3 linked regions of the Nothobranchius furzeri genome follow. The protein of the gene in region 1 interacts with the protein of each later gene in a pairwise test. Links are inferred from orthologs where the notes say so. Each region holds a gene or a part of one and is shown in the gene's direction. Other genes may lie near its edges. The genes, in order: bend7, mfap1 and eaf1.

The links.
Region 2: the proteins of bend7 (region 1) and mfap1 interact in binary tests that used the Homo sapiens proteins (3 or more experiments, as listed by UniProt). The two-hybrid records come from large-scale screens. The link is inferred for Nothobranchius furzeri from reciprocal best matches to the Homo sapiens genes BEND7 and MFAP1.
Region 3: the proteins of bend7 (region 1) and eaf1 interact in binary tests that used the Homo sapiens proteins (3 or more experiments, as listed by UniProt). The two-hybrid records come from large-scale screens. The link is inferred for Nothobranchius furzeri from reciprocal best matches to the Homo sapiens genes BEND7 and EAF1.

Annotation. Positions count from the first base shown.
Region 1 is NC_091744.1:72,601,087-72,604,840, reverse strand, and holds the start of bend7 (BEN domain-containing protein 7), read left to right. Parts: upstream 1-1,313; 5' UTR 1,314-2,071; coding exon 2,072-2,135; intron 2,136-2,609; coding exon 2,610-2,678; intron 2,679-2,752; coding exon 2,753-3,094; intron 3,095-3,244; coding exon 3,245-3,364; intron 3,365-3,446; coding exon 3,447-3,754. Other genes in the region: prpf18 (pre-mRNA-splicing factor 18), read right to left, coding at 216-293, 813-878.
Region 2 is NC_091749.1:30,004,602-30,008,289, forward strand, and holds the start of mfap1 (microfibrillar-associated protein 1), read left to right. Parts: upstream 1-875; 5' UTR 876-990; coding exon 991-1,072; intron 1,073-1,693; coding exon 1,694-1,910; intron 1,911-1,989; coding exon 1,990-2,140; intron 2,141-2,232; coding exon 2,233-2,420; intron 2,421-2,500; coding exon 2,501-2,770; intron 2,771-2,859; coding exon 2,860-3,019; intron 3,020-3,316; coding exon 3,317-3,406; intron 3,407-3,688. Other genes in the region: hddc3 (guanosine-3',5'-bis(diphosphate) 3'-pyrophosphohydrolase MESH1), read left to right, coding at 1-136. UniProt on the Homo sapiens protein: Involved in pre-mRNA splicing as a component of the spliceosome.
Region 3 is NC_091745.1:66,979,406-66,983,159, reverse strand, and holds the start of eaf1 (ELL-associated factor 1), read left to right. Parts: upstream 1-908; 5' UTR 909-1,097; coding exon 1,098-1,200; intron 1,201-2,596; coding exon 2,597-2,691; intron 2,692-2,984; coding exon 2,985-3,121; intron 3,122-3,228; coding exon 3,229-3,401; intron 3,402-3,533; coding exon 3,534-3,754. Other genes in the region: tRNA N(3)-methylcytidine methyltransferase METTL6, read right to left, coding at 1-252. UniProt on the Homo sapiens protein: Acts as a transcriptional transactivator of ELL and ELL2 elongation activities.

The DNA of each region.
Region 1 (3,754 bases):
CCTAGCCTTTTGTTTTTAAGCAAACTGTTCATGTACTGTGTAACAAACTCCACCAAGTTTCATTCAATTGTTGTGCTGAAAGGGATCTTTAACAACTAGTCTTAGGAAAATTCCTAAATTGACAATGACCTAAAGAAAAAAATAATAGGAATACAGTTATTTAGATGTAATGGAGCGTGTTCGAGAAAGTAATGCAAACTGATCTTGACATTAACCTTTAATCCACAGCGTTTGAAGTACTCTTCTTTTTCCTTGCGAGCCAGATCAGCTCTTTTGAAGAATTTTTTGGAGTCCTGTTGAGAAAAAGTTGATTGATATGTTTAATCCTATTGAAAATTCAACCTGTAGGGCAGTTAAAGGAACATAATAACACAGGAACTCCCCAACAAGAAGCTACATGCTAACGTTTGCTCTCTTTCTTATCCAAGAAACAATGTGCAATAACCCACCCGATTTAAAAAAAATCACAATTGACAGAGAACAAGCTAAATAATTCGTTTAGTTTAGAAACACAACACACAATTAATTTGAAATTCAAAGCAACAAGGTAGTAAGACGCGTTACACAAAAATGACTGAAGCACGTTTCAAGATCCGCTTTTTACGTTCAACGTAAAGATCTTACTGACACATTTAAATTTATACATGTAACGTTATTTTCCACGTGTGCAGAGTTCATAAGAGCACCGACGAGAGTAAGAAAAGCAATAATCATGGAAAGTGTTGACTTCAAACTTCCAGCTAACTCAACGCTAGCTAACAAAGCTAAATGTTAGGCTAACAAAAGCAGATTAAAAACCACAAAATACTCACATCAATGAGCTCTTTTTCCTCTAGAAGTTTTCTCTTTCTTGCTATTTCAGCTTTAAGTATATCCATTTCAGAAGAATATTATGAAAATGTCTTCTTTTGCGGATAGCTGAAGAGTGTTGACATCAAATGTAGAAAAAGGTTGACGTCCAGGGCTTAAAAACGGAAACAAAAAATTCAACATAAGAGCCTTAAAAAGTTCATTTCCTTTTTTCAAAATAAAAGACTAACTCCCAAATGCGACACTTCTGGAATGAACAGTTTTATTCTAGAATGAACCTGGTATGAACCTATATGGCTATGTTAAGAAGATTTCATTTACACTAAAAACTTTAAAATTTGAAAAGTATAAAGCTACACTAGTTGTATCAGATTTTCTCAAATTTATAAATTATATATAAACCTATTTGAATTTTCTTAAGATAACACAGTAAAATTAAATGAAAATGTACAGCTGCATCTATTTATATTATTTATGTATAGATGCAGTTGTACATTGTGTGTGTGTGTGTGTGTTTCTGAAAAAAATTGAAACGCTTAAAAATAACAAAAGGAGACGAAATTACATAAAAGCCTCCAAAAGTGTTTCAAATTAGACACATCTCAAAGAAAGACAACAGTAGTGGCATGAAAAAAGACTTAATTGGAGAACATTTAGAGGAAAAATGGTTGGAAAGTAAATGTAAATATCTAGGTATTCCAAACTTTGACAGACAACACTGGATTCCTGTAATACTCAATAGAGTTTGACCTTTTTATGCCACATTAGATATTTTCTGTCACATCATGTTTATGCTGTTAAACAAGTAAATTCTGTTGTGAGCAGCGTTTTAGATCCAGTTTAATTCAAAAAGCCTTTTAAAAAGTTCTGTAGCTCCTTCAACCTGACTGCTTTTGCTTAGATTTCAGTTTGTTGTCCAGTGGCAAAAGCCTTGTGCTCGACCTTTTAAAGGATACCATCAGGTGGCGCAAAGGGATATGTGACGAATTCTTAATAATAAAGTCATTAATGTATTTACATGGCGAAAGGGAAGGACCGCCGTCATGCTGGGAGAGGGGATGCATGTCCACAATTTTTTATTCCTGGAGAATTTTACACCCAAACGTTGGGAAATCTTCCGATGACAAGAATAGGCGAATTTTCTAACTGATTAATGAAGCAGACGGACAGTGATTGTGCTGAGTGAAAAAATAAAAAAAAATACAGATTTTGTCTTGGAGCGAAATCCGACGGCACGACTTGCTGGATATTCCCGTTGAGGATGGAGTTTGGAGAACGGAAGCGGAGAAGGAAATCCCAGAGCTTTAAACTGGTCACGGATGAAGGTAATGCTGCTGAATGAAAGCGAGACCTTAACAAGACGCGCTCATGTGTCTGGGTGTTTGTCTGGCGCCGTGTGCCAGCAGCAGAGACAAAAGCGATGGCCACGACAATACCCAGTCTGTGCATCGATTTTCTATAAATAAATCCCCAAGAGCCAACCTTTCAAACAAGAAAACGAAACAGAAATTCTCCTCACATGGTCCAGGCGTTTAAATTTTTCAAAAAGAAGAATAATTAATCAAAAACGTACACATCTGTTGCGCATTTATGTCATGCGACTCGAAGCTTTTTATATATTATTTTTTGCTACTAAATACCTTTCTCTAAACTACTTCATACCTACAGGTGGTGGTTTGTGCATGGATGGGAGGGGGGCTGGTTTACATCAGAGCACACCAGTCTGCAGACACTTTGCATCACAAGTTTTGCTGCAATTTTTTCTTATTTTGTTATTAAAAAAACAATTTTATGTGCAGATTGTGACCCTTCATATGTTGCAAGTTGCAAGAATGGCAACGAGGGAGCTAATGATGCAGCTGTACCTGGTGGTATTCTGATTATTTTTTTATATATTGCATGACTGCAAAATGATGCTCTAACCACCTTCTGTTAAATGCAGTTTGGCTTGATGAGAGCATGGGGATCAAGAGGCAAATCACGGGTATGATGAGACTTCTGAGTGATAAGACTGGGAGGGCATATCAACAGGTTGGAAGTGAGTCAAACAGCTTGCCTCAGGAGCCCCAGGATAAAGATCTGAACAGCCTGCACCAGACACAAATTCCATCTCCTGCATCACATCGTCACCGCAGCTGGAGCTCTGAGGGGGACCCTGAGCCAGCATCTTCATCCATAGCGAGCCCCACTCTAAACGGTCAAGCCTGTGGTCATAGCACCCTGTCCAAAAGCTCCAGGAGCCTCAGCAGCTTAAAGGACTCAGTCAAACCCAGTAATACAAACGGTAGGGAATCTTTGAATCTCAGGTCATTATATTTTAAAATGTTTGCAAAAACTTCAATTTCCTCTTAAGTTTTTGGTCAACGTCAGCATGAAAGCACATTGGACATGTTAAAGCTGACAGTGACTAAACAAATCAACACTGACTTTGCAGGAGAAGTGCTCCCTCCTGCTGTGCCTGAAATCCCCTGCTGCATGTGTAACTGTAAAGACACCTTAGAGGCTATACTCCAGGAACTGAGAGCAATGAGGAGGCTGATGCAAACTCAAAAAGGTCAGAAAGGAGGAATCTTATACAAAATATATGGACAACCTAAAGGAAATCTTTTATTCTTGTGATTTTTTTTCCTCCATAGCACCATTTGAAAAGAAAGAACAGGCAGGATCACCATGCCAACCTTCCCTTGGTCCAGGTTCCTCTCCTCGGCGTACACCCCAAAAGAGAAGGCCGATCTATAAGGTGGCTCCACTCAGTGTGTACAGCACCAGAAGGGCACCCACATCTTCCTCAGTGCTTAAACCAGTTACTTCTGAGTCCATGAGGAGGGAGGATTGTGAGAAACTAGACTCATCAGCACTCAACATTGGTTTGATTTCCTGTAATGTGTCTGCGCAGCCACCTCAGGTCAGCAACACACACGATCCTCCCCTGAACCAACCAAAG
Region 2 (3,688 bases), on another chromosome or scaffold:
CCAGGAGTACTTTGTTTGGGCCTCTGAGGTGGTGAAAGGCCTGAAAGGAACTAACTCTGCCCTGGAGGGGAAGCTGGAGGACTTGTTCAGAGAGGCATTCAACTCTGATGGCAAAGCCACACGTCTATACTGTTAAAATGACAACTCAAATGCACCTTTATGAGTGAGCTTCAGAAAAAAAAGAAAGAAGTGTGAATGTACTGTCTGCTGCACTGTCATTTGTATTATTGTCAAATTTTTAAAGTCATGCAAACCAGAACAGAAAATTAAAAGAATAAAAACATATGACATTTCTTTTATAAGTCTGGTTCATTGTCATCAAACCTTTCAAATAATTTTCACACAGACACAAAGTTTTTTTTTTAGATAAGTGAAGAGTTGCTTATTAGAAAGTCAGTCAGATTAGCCTTTTGTTTTTAAATAAACCATGATGCCAAAGTTACAAGCCAACCTCAGTCCATCCTATTACTCTGTTAAGGGTCAGGGCGTGCACTTATTTATTGTGCTAGTAAATTGAACTTGCCTGGAGCAGAAGAAATGTAGTTTGTTAAGCTGCCTGTCATTTTTGTAAAAAAAAAACGGAATGTTTGATGTTGGTTATATTTGTTAGGGTGAAATCGGGTTTCTGATCATAATGAAAAAAAGCTTGACTTGAAGGCCTATCATGCATGAAACATAAAAACCACCAAGGGGCGGTGATTTACAATTTACAATTTAATCGATTTTAATTAGCTTGATGGTCATTTAGAAAACACGTTTATAAAAATGCATAAATGTCAGTTTTGTAAAAACAATTTAATGTGAGACGCTTTCCTGTTCATTTGATTCTTGAGTTTTTGGTTTTTCTCTTCGGAACAAATGCACTTCCTGTCCGTTCGCGGAAGTTGTTCAACTTCCGGTTTTGAAACGAAGCAGCCAAGAGATTGTTGAGACTAAGCGCAACATCCTTTTATTTCACGTCCATAGTTTTGTGTTGTTGACCGGGCAGTCATGTCTAGTCACGAAAGCGTCAACATGAAGCTCCCACCGATCCAGTCCACGGCAGGAGCCGTGCCCATCCGGAATGAGAAAGGTGAATCGTGTTAGGGTTAGCTTCCATGCTAATGTAGCATCTGTTATGTAGCGTCAAAAAACGCGAGTTAAGTTTCTAAATAACTAATTCATTACTCAGCAAAACAAGCTGAAAAGCAATTTTGTGATGTTGGTTTTTTAAGAGAGTAAAATGTGTGTGTGTGGTGGGAGTAACAGTTTAAAATCTAGAAATGGAGGAACAACTGACAGTTTACATTTTTTTAAACAAGATTCAAGATCTTTGATGATCCAACACAAATGTTTATAAACAACTGGAAAAAATATATTTTAAATAGCTTTTCAACTTTTTTACGTGTTAGATAAGTCATCTGTTAAGTCCCTTAAAAGTATTCATGGGCTTTTGTAACGTCATTTATCTGTCTACCTAATAAGAGCTTGTCTGAGACATTAACTCGTTGTTTTAAGCTTACGTCTGAGTTTTGGGGTCATTTTATTACTCCCAAGGGCGAGGGGTATGCTGTATCTGTCTGATTTAATTTAAATAAATCTGCAACATATTGTTTTACGTTTTTTATGGTTGAGTGTTTTTTCCTGTTTAAATACTCTTGTACTAAGCTTGAGGAAGTGTATATAATCATGCCCTTTTCTGTACACAATGTAGGTGAGATCTCCATGGAGAAGGTGAAGGTGAAGAGGTATGTGTCAGGTAAACGTCCAGACTATGCCCCCATGGAGTCGTCAGATGAAGAGGAGGAGGAATTCAAGTTTGCTAAAAAGGGAGTGGAAATGGAGCTGGAGGTAGAGCAGCAGGAAGAAGATGTGAATGACCCACGTCTCAAACGTTTGCTCAATCGAACTTCTGAGGACGTGGAGGAGAGGTATCACTCAGTTTTTCTGATTAAACTCAAATTCTGTCAACATTTTGAGTCAAAATGTTTCCCGTTTGTTTGTGCTCAGGCTCGCAAGACACAGACAGATCGTAGAGCCTGAAGTTGTTGCTGAGAGCAGTGAGGACTCTGATGAAGGCACATGGCACCCTGAGCATCAGGAGAGCAGCGACGATGAAGAGGAGGAGGAGGAGGAAGAGGAGGAAGAAGTGGATGATGAGGTAGCAATTGTGCACCAAAAAAATAAAATCCTTTTAACTTTTTTGTTGCATTTTGAACAAATTATTAATTTGCTCATCGTGCTTGTGACCAGGAAATTGAGAGGAGGCGAGCAATGATGCGCCAGCGTGCAATGGAGAGGAAAAATGAAGAGATGGAAGTGATGGAGGTGGAGGAGGAGGGGAAGTCAGGAGAGGAGTCTGAGTCGGAGTCAGAATATGAGGAGTACACAGACAGTGAGGATGAAGCAGAGCCGAGACTTAAGCCTGTTTTTATTCGCAAGTGAGAACTAAACTAAAAATGTTTCAATAAAAATTCCAGATTCAGAACACTAGCTCAAATGTTTTTTTTTTGCACTGCAGAAAGGACAGAGTCACTGTGGCAGAGCGCGAAGCCGAGGAGCTGAAGCAGCGAGAGCTGGAGGCCGAGGCCAAGAGGCAGGCAGAGGATCGGCGGCGCTACACCCTCAAGATTGTTGAGGAGGAGGCTAAGAAGGAGTTTGAAGAGAACCGGCGCTCGCTGGCTGCACTGGAAGCTCTGGACACTGACGGGGAGAATGAAGAGGAGGAATATGAAGCCTGGAAGGTCCGAGAGCTGAAACGCATCAAGAGAGACCGAGAGGCCCGGGAAGCGTAAGTAAACTGCAGGATTCCAAAGGATTTATGGTGAAAGAGTGATGCAGTTCTCTTCAGGACGGTCATTTGTGGTGTTTTGTTGTCAGAATGGAGAGAGAGAAGGGTGAAATTGACAGATTCCACAATATGACGGAAGAGGAACGCAGGGCGGAGCTACGCAACAGCGGCAAAGTCGTCACCAACAAAGCCTCCAAAGGCAAATACAAGTTCTTGCAGAAATACTACCACAGAGGAGCCTTCTTCATGGTGAGTCCCAGCAGACACAAGAGTCCTTTTCACGGGATTGTCACCAGGATTCATAAAAAAGCAAATTTTTAAGACAACCAAGAGATTTTCCTAAAATCTTCATTTACAGCTGCAGTGTCTTTTCTTTGACAATTATTGTGTGATAAAAACGGCGTACCCTTTCTTATAACACCTTTATTATTTAGATGTCTGTAAATGACAGGAAATCCCACCAGATTCTGAAGGAGGTGATCGTTTGTGATGGGTCACCAACAGGTTATACGTGTAGGGATTTATTGTGTGGTTTTTGTGTGTTAGGATGAGGAGGAGGATGTTTACAAGAGAGACTTCAGCGCTCCTACACTGGAGGATCACTTCAACAAAACCATCCTACCCAAAGTCATGCAGGTGAGACCCTTTCGTCTTGGGGTGCAACGAAATGAAACTTTGGGCTGATGTCGATATTGTTATGGCTGATAATCGATATTTGTCGATGCGACATATACAGGCTGACATTTATGCTTCTGAAGTCAGCAGATTTTATGGAGACTTAAAGTTATGTAAGCAGAAATTTTGGACGTCTTTCTTTTTATATATATTCAGTTAATATCGGTCCAGTTGTCCTTATCAGACCGATACCGATATGTAAAACATAGATATTGATGCCGATATGTCATGCATCCCTGCTGT
Region 3 (3,754 bases), on another chromosome or scaffold:
TCTGTCTTTAAAGAAATTCGTGGTGTTTCTTTTATAAAACAAGTCCCAATTTTTCTGCGCTTCTTTCTCCAGCTTAATTTGTTTGAAATCAGATACCAGCGTCCGCTCACTGCTCAGTCTGTCCCGTTCCTCTGGAGTTAAATCTCTGACAGAGCAAAGTTTTGTTTCTCGTCCCCGTGACTCCACCTTTGTTTCGGGTTCCACTTCTTCAATGTCTTCAACTTTGCACTTTTCATTTGTCATTAACGCCATTGTTGTGTTAGATTGCCGTTCTCTCTGATAGTTTGTTTATAAAATAAAGCTTTATATAAGCTTCAATAGGAAGAAAAAGGAGGTAATATTTTTCCACACTTGGCATCCATCTTGTGCAGCATCGATGACACCGGTACCGGTTGGTGTTATTAAAAAAAATACCACGGTGGTCAACGCTTTAAAACACAAAATTTATACAAAATATAATATAAATTTTGACTGTACAATTTTATTGTTTAAATAAGTTACAAATATTTTTAACAGCTCTGAAATCACTTACACCCAGTCTGGTTTTCCGTCGGTGGTATTTGATGCTCGGACCAAAGGCAGTGTTACGCCGAGATATGTTTCCTCACAACAACAGTTTCTCCTCCTATTTTAAGCGAGTTTCCCCTTTAACTTTGTTGTTTAAACCAATTATCTGATAATAAAATAACTAAACTGAAAACTTTTGATAGTTTAATTAAAACATTAGTCATCACAGCATGGCAAAAACGTACGGAAAATATTACTTTTTAAAATTATTTAATCTGTGTTCGGTAAAAATAAATTCATACTTAAGTCAAATACTAATAACTGAATAATTGTTCAATGAGGTAAACATATTTATTTTCCAAGAATTCAGAACGGAAAACCCGCACACTGATATACGAGTAAACCGTTTTTCACTTAACACCGAAAAAGCTGCAGTCGCGTGACGTAAGTGTTGTTTTGCTAAAGGTTAGCATCTGCAAGCTAACTTTATCTTTATTTAGATTATCATCTCCGGTAGTTGCTGGATATAGCTCTGTTTTTCGGTTGTAACACAAATGTAAAATTTAATCCGGTTTCAACCAGACGAAGTCATGAACGGAAACACAAATCCACTGCTGGACAAAGAGGAACATGTTCTGAAGCTCGGAGAGAGCTTCGAGAAAAGGCCAAAATCATCTTTTCACACCATCAGATGTGAGTGTGAAAGAGACCACTTTGTGTTTCTAAAAGCTTTTAGTAAAGTCAGCTGTTGGTTGGAAGTAATTAGCTCACAGTGATACAGCTATTACATTCATTACGGTTACAGAAGTACACAATAAATGAGAAAATTTGATTTACATGTATGAACTGCAAAACACCGAACTGAAAGAAATTGCTGAACAGAAATGTGTTTATTATGTAAAAAATAGAAAGTTAAATTGTGGGGTTTAATGTTTTTTTTTTAAGTCCTTGGTTATTATCAATTATTAACTGATCATCATTCAACTTTTACTTAATTTTGCTTTGTTTATTTAAACATTTCCTAAGCCAAGTAGACAGTGTGACCAATAATTAATAAATGCACATTTCACCCAAATACCAGCAGCACATTATTTAAATATTTCCCGGTTTGTAAATTAATGTCATATTAGCAGAGTCAAGCAAAGTTATAATTTAAAACATATAAGGGTGATTAGCTAAGTTTGAATCTCTTTCATTTTTAGAAACTAAATAATTAATAATAATAAGGGATGCACCAATATGAATTTTTTGGGCCGGTACCGAGATTAGTATCACTGTTATGGCCGATAACCAATATTGGCCAATACCGTTTTATGCATCTGAAATCAGCAGATTTTGAATAGACTGAAATTATGCAAGTTGAATTTTGGAATGTTTTGCTTTATTTCTATGAAGTTGAATTTGCATTATGTTATACACACACACACACACACACACACACACACACACACACGTACGCTTCTGGTAAATGGTAAATGGCCTGTATTTGATATAGCGCCGTCTAGAGTCCTGGAACCCCCCAAGGTGCTTTACAACACAACCAGTCATTCACCCATTCACACACACATTCACACACTGGTGGGGATGAGCTACGATGTAGCCACAGCTGCTCTGGGGCGCACTGACAGAGGCGAGGCTGCTGAGCACTGGCGCCACCGGTCCTTCCGACCACCACCAGCAGATAACATGGGTCTTGCCCAAGGACACAACGACAGCAACAGACTGAGCGGGGCTCGAACCTGCAACCTTCCGATTACAGGGCGAGCACTTAACTCCTGTGCCACCGTCGCCAGATGATTACCATCACGGTCACATGTCTCAACAATTACACATCATAACTGCCCCTTACCCTCTGAAACATACACAAACGGAAATAAGATGGAAAAAATATCAGTTCTTAAAATCGGCCCAGTTTTAATTGTCGGACTGGTATGTTAAAAATGTACTAACATCGGCCAATACTCGATATTGATGCAGATATATCATACATCTCTAATAATTATATAATTTACTTCTTTTTCTATTTATTTAAGTTTTTCTAAGCAGTGAAAGGACTTGATTCATGCCTAATTTATTTATTTATTCTTAGATGACTTCAAACCAGCATCGATCGACACGAGCTGTGAGGGAGAGCTACAAGTTGGGAAAGGAGATGAAGTTACCATAACACTACCTCATATTCCAGTAAGGTTGCAGAGACGTAAACAACAAAGCACCATTCTCACATTTGTGTCAGCTGGCTCACAGTTATGGTTATTCAACATTATTAATGTTATTAAGTGTCAATCAAGTGCTTTCCCTCTGCTAACAAAGTCAGATAGCAGCTTAGGTTGAGTAATCATAGTTGATTATGTTTAAATGTAGTTTCAGTTTCATCTAGTTACATCAGGAACCAATAAAATAAACAAGTAAAAGCCCCTTTGTATGATTTTATTAAGAAAAATCAAAGGATCAAGTAAAGTTACATACTCTTCCAGGGCTCCACGCCTCCAATGACGGTATTTAAAGGAAACAAGCGGTTGTATCAGAAGGATTGTGTGCTCATCATTAACCACGACACGGGGGAATTTGTCCTGGAGAAGCTCAGCAGCAGCATCCAGGTCAAGAAAACAAGGTGGGAGAATTGTATATTACTTTTTCACACTTGATAAATCATTCATTCTAAAGTGGGGAGCAGAAAGGAGCAACAGTTGGTGAGTCTGCCGTGTTTATTTTTTATAGGGCGGAGGGCAGCAGTAAGATCCAGGCCCGAATCGAGCAGCAGTCCGTCCGTTCCTCCCAGACAAGCTCTCAGTTCCGAGCCCCGACCAAACCAGGGGCCGGGAACAAAACCTCACCCTCCCACACGAAGGACAACCCGTCCCCAGAGCCTCAGCTGGATGACATCAAACGAGGTGAGAAGGTTCTGTCACAAGATGGAACTGGTGTGTCTCAAACTGATTCTAGCTAAAATATCAGCTGGATATTGTAACTGGTGTGAAATGAACCCAGAACCAATAATGTCTCTGACCTGCTGCCGCTGGCAGAGCTGCGGGCGGAGGTGGAGGTGATCGAGCAGATGAGCAGCAGCGGCAGCAGCTCGTCCGATTCAGCCAGCGGCTCGGGGAGCGGCGACGACAGCAGCAGTAGCGATGGTGAGCACGACGCCCCCCCGCAACCGCTCAGCCAGACCTCCCCCAGCTGCACCCCCATCACCAACGGCGGAGGAGACCGGCAGCAGGGCAACAACCAGCTCATGAACACACTC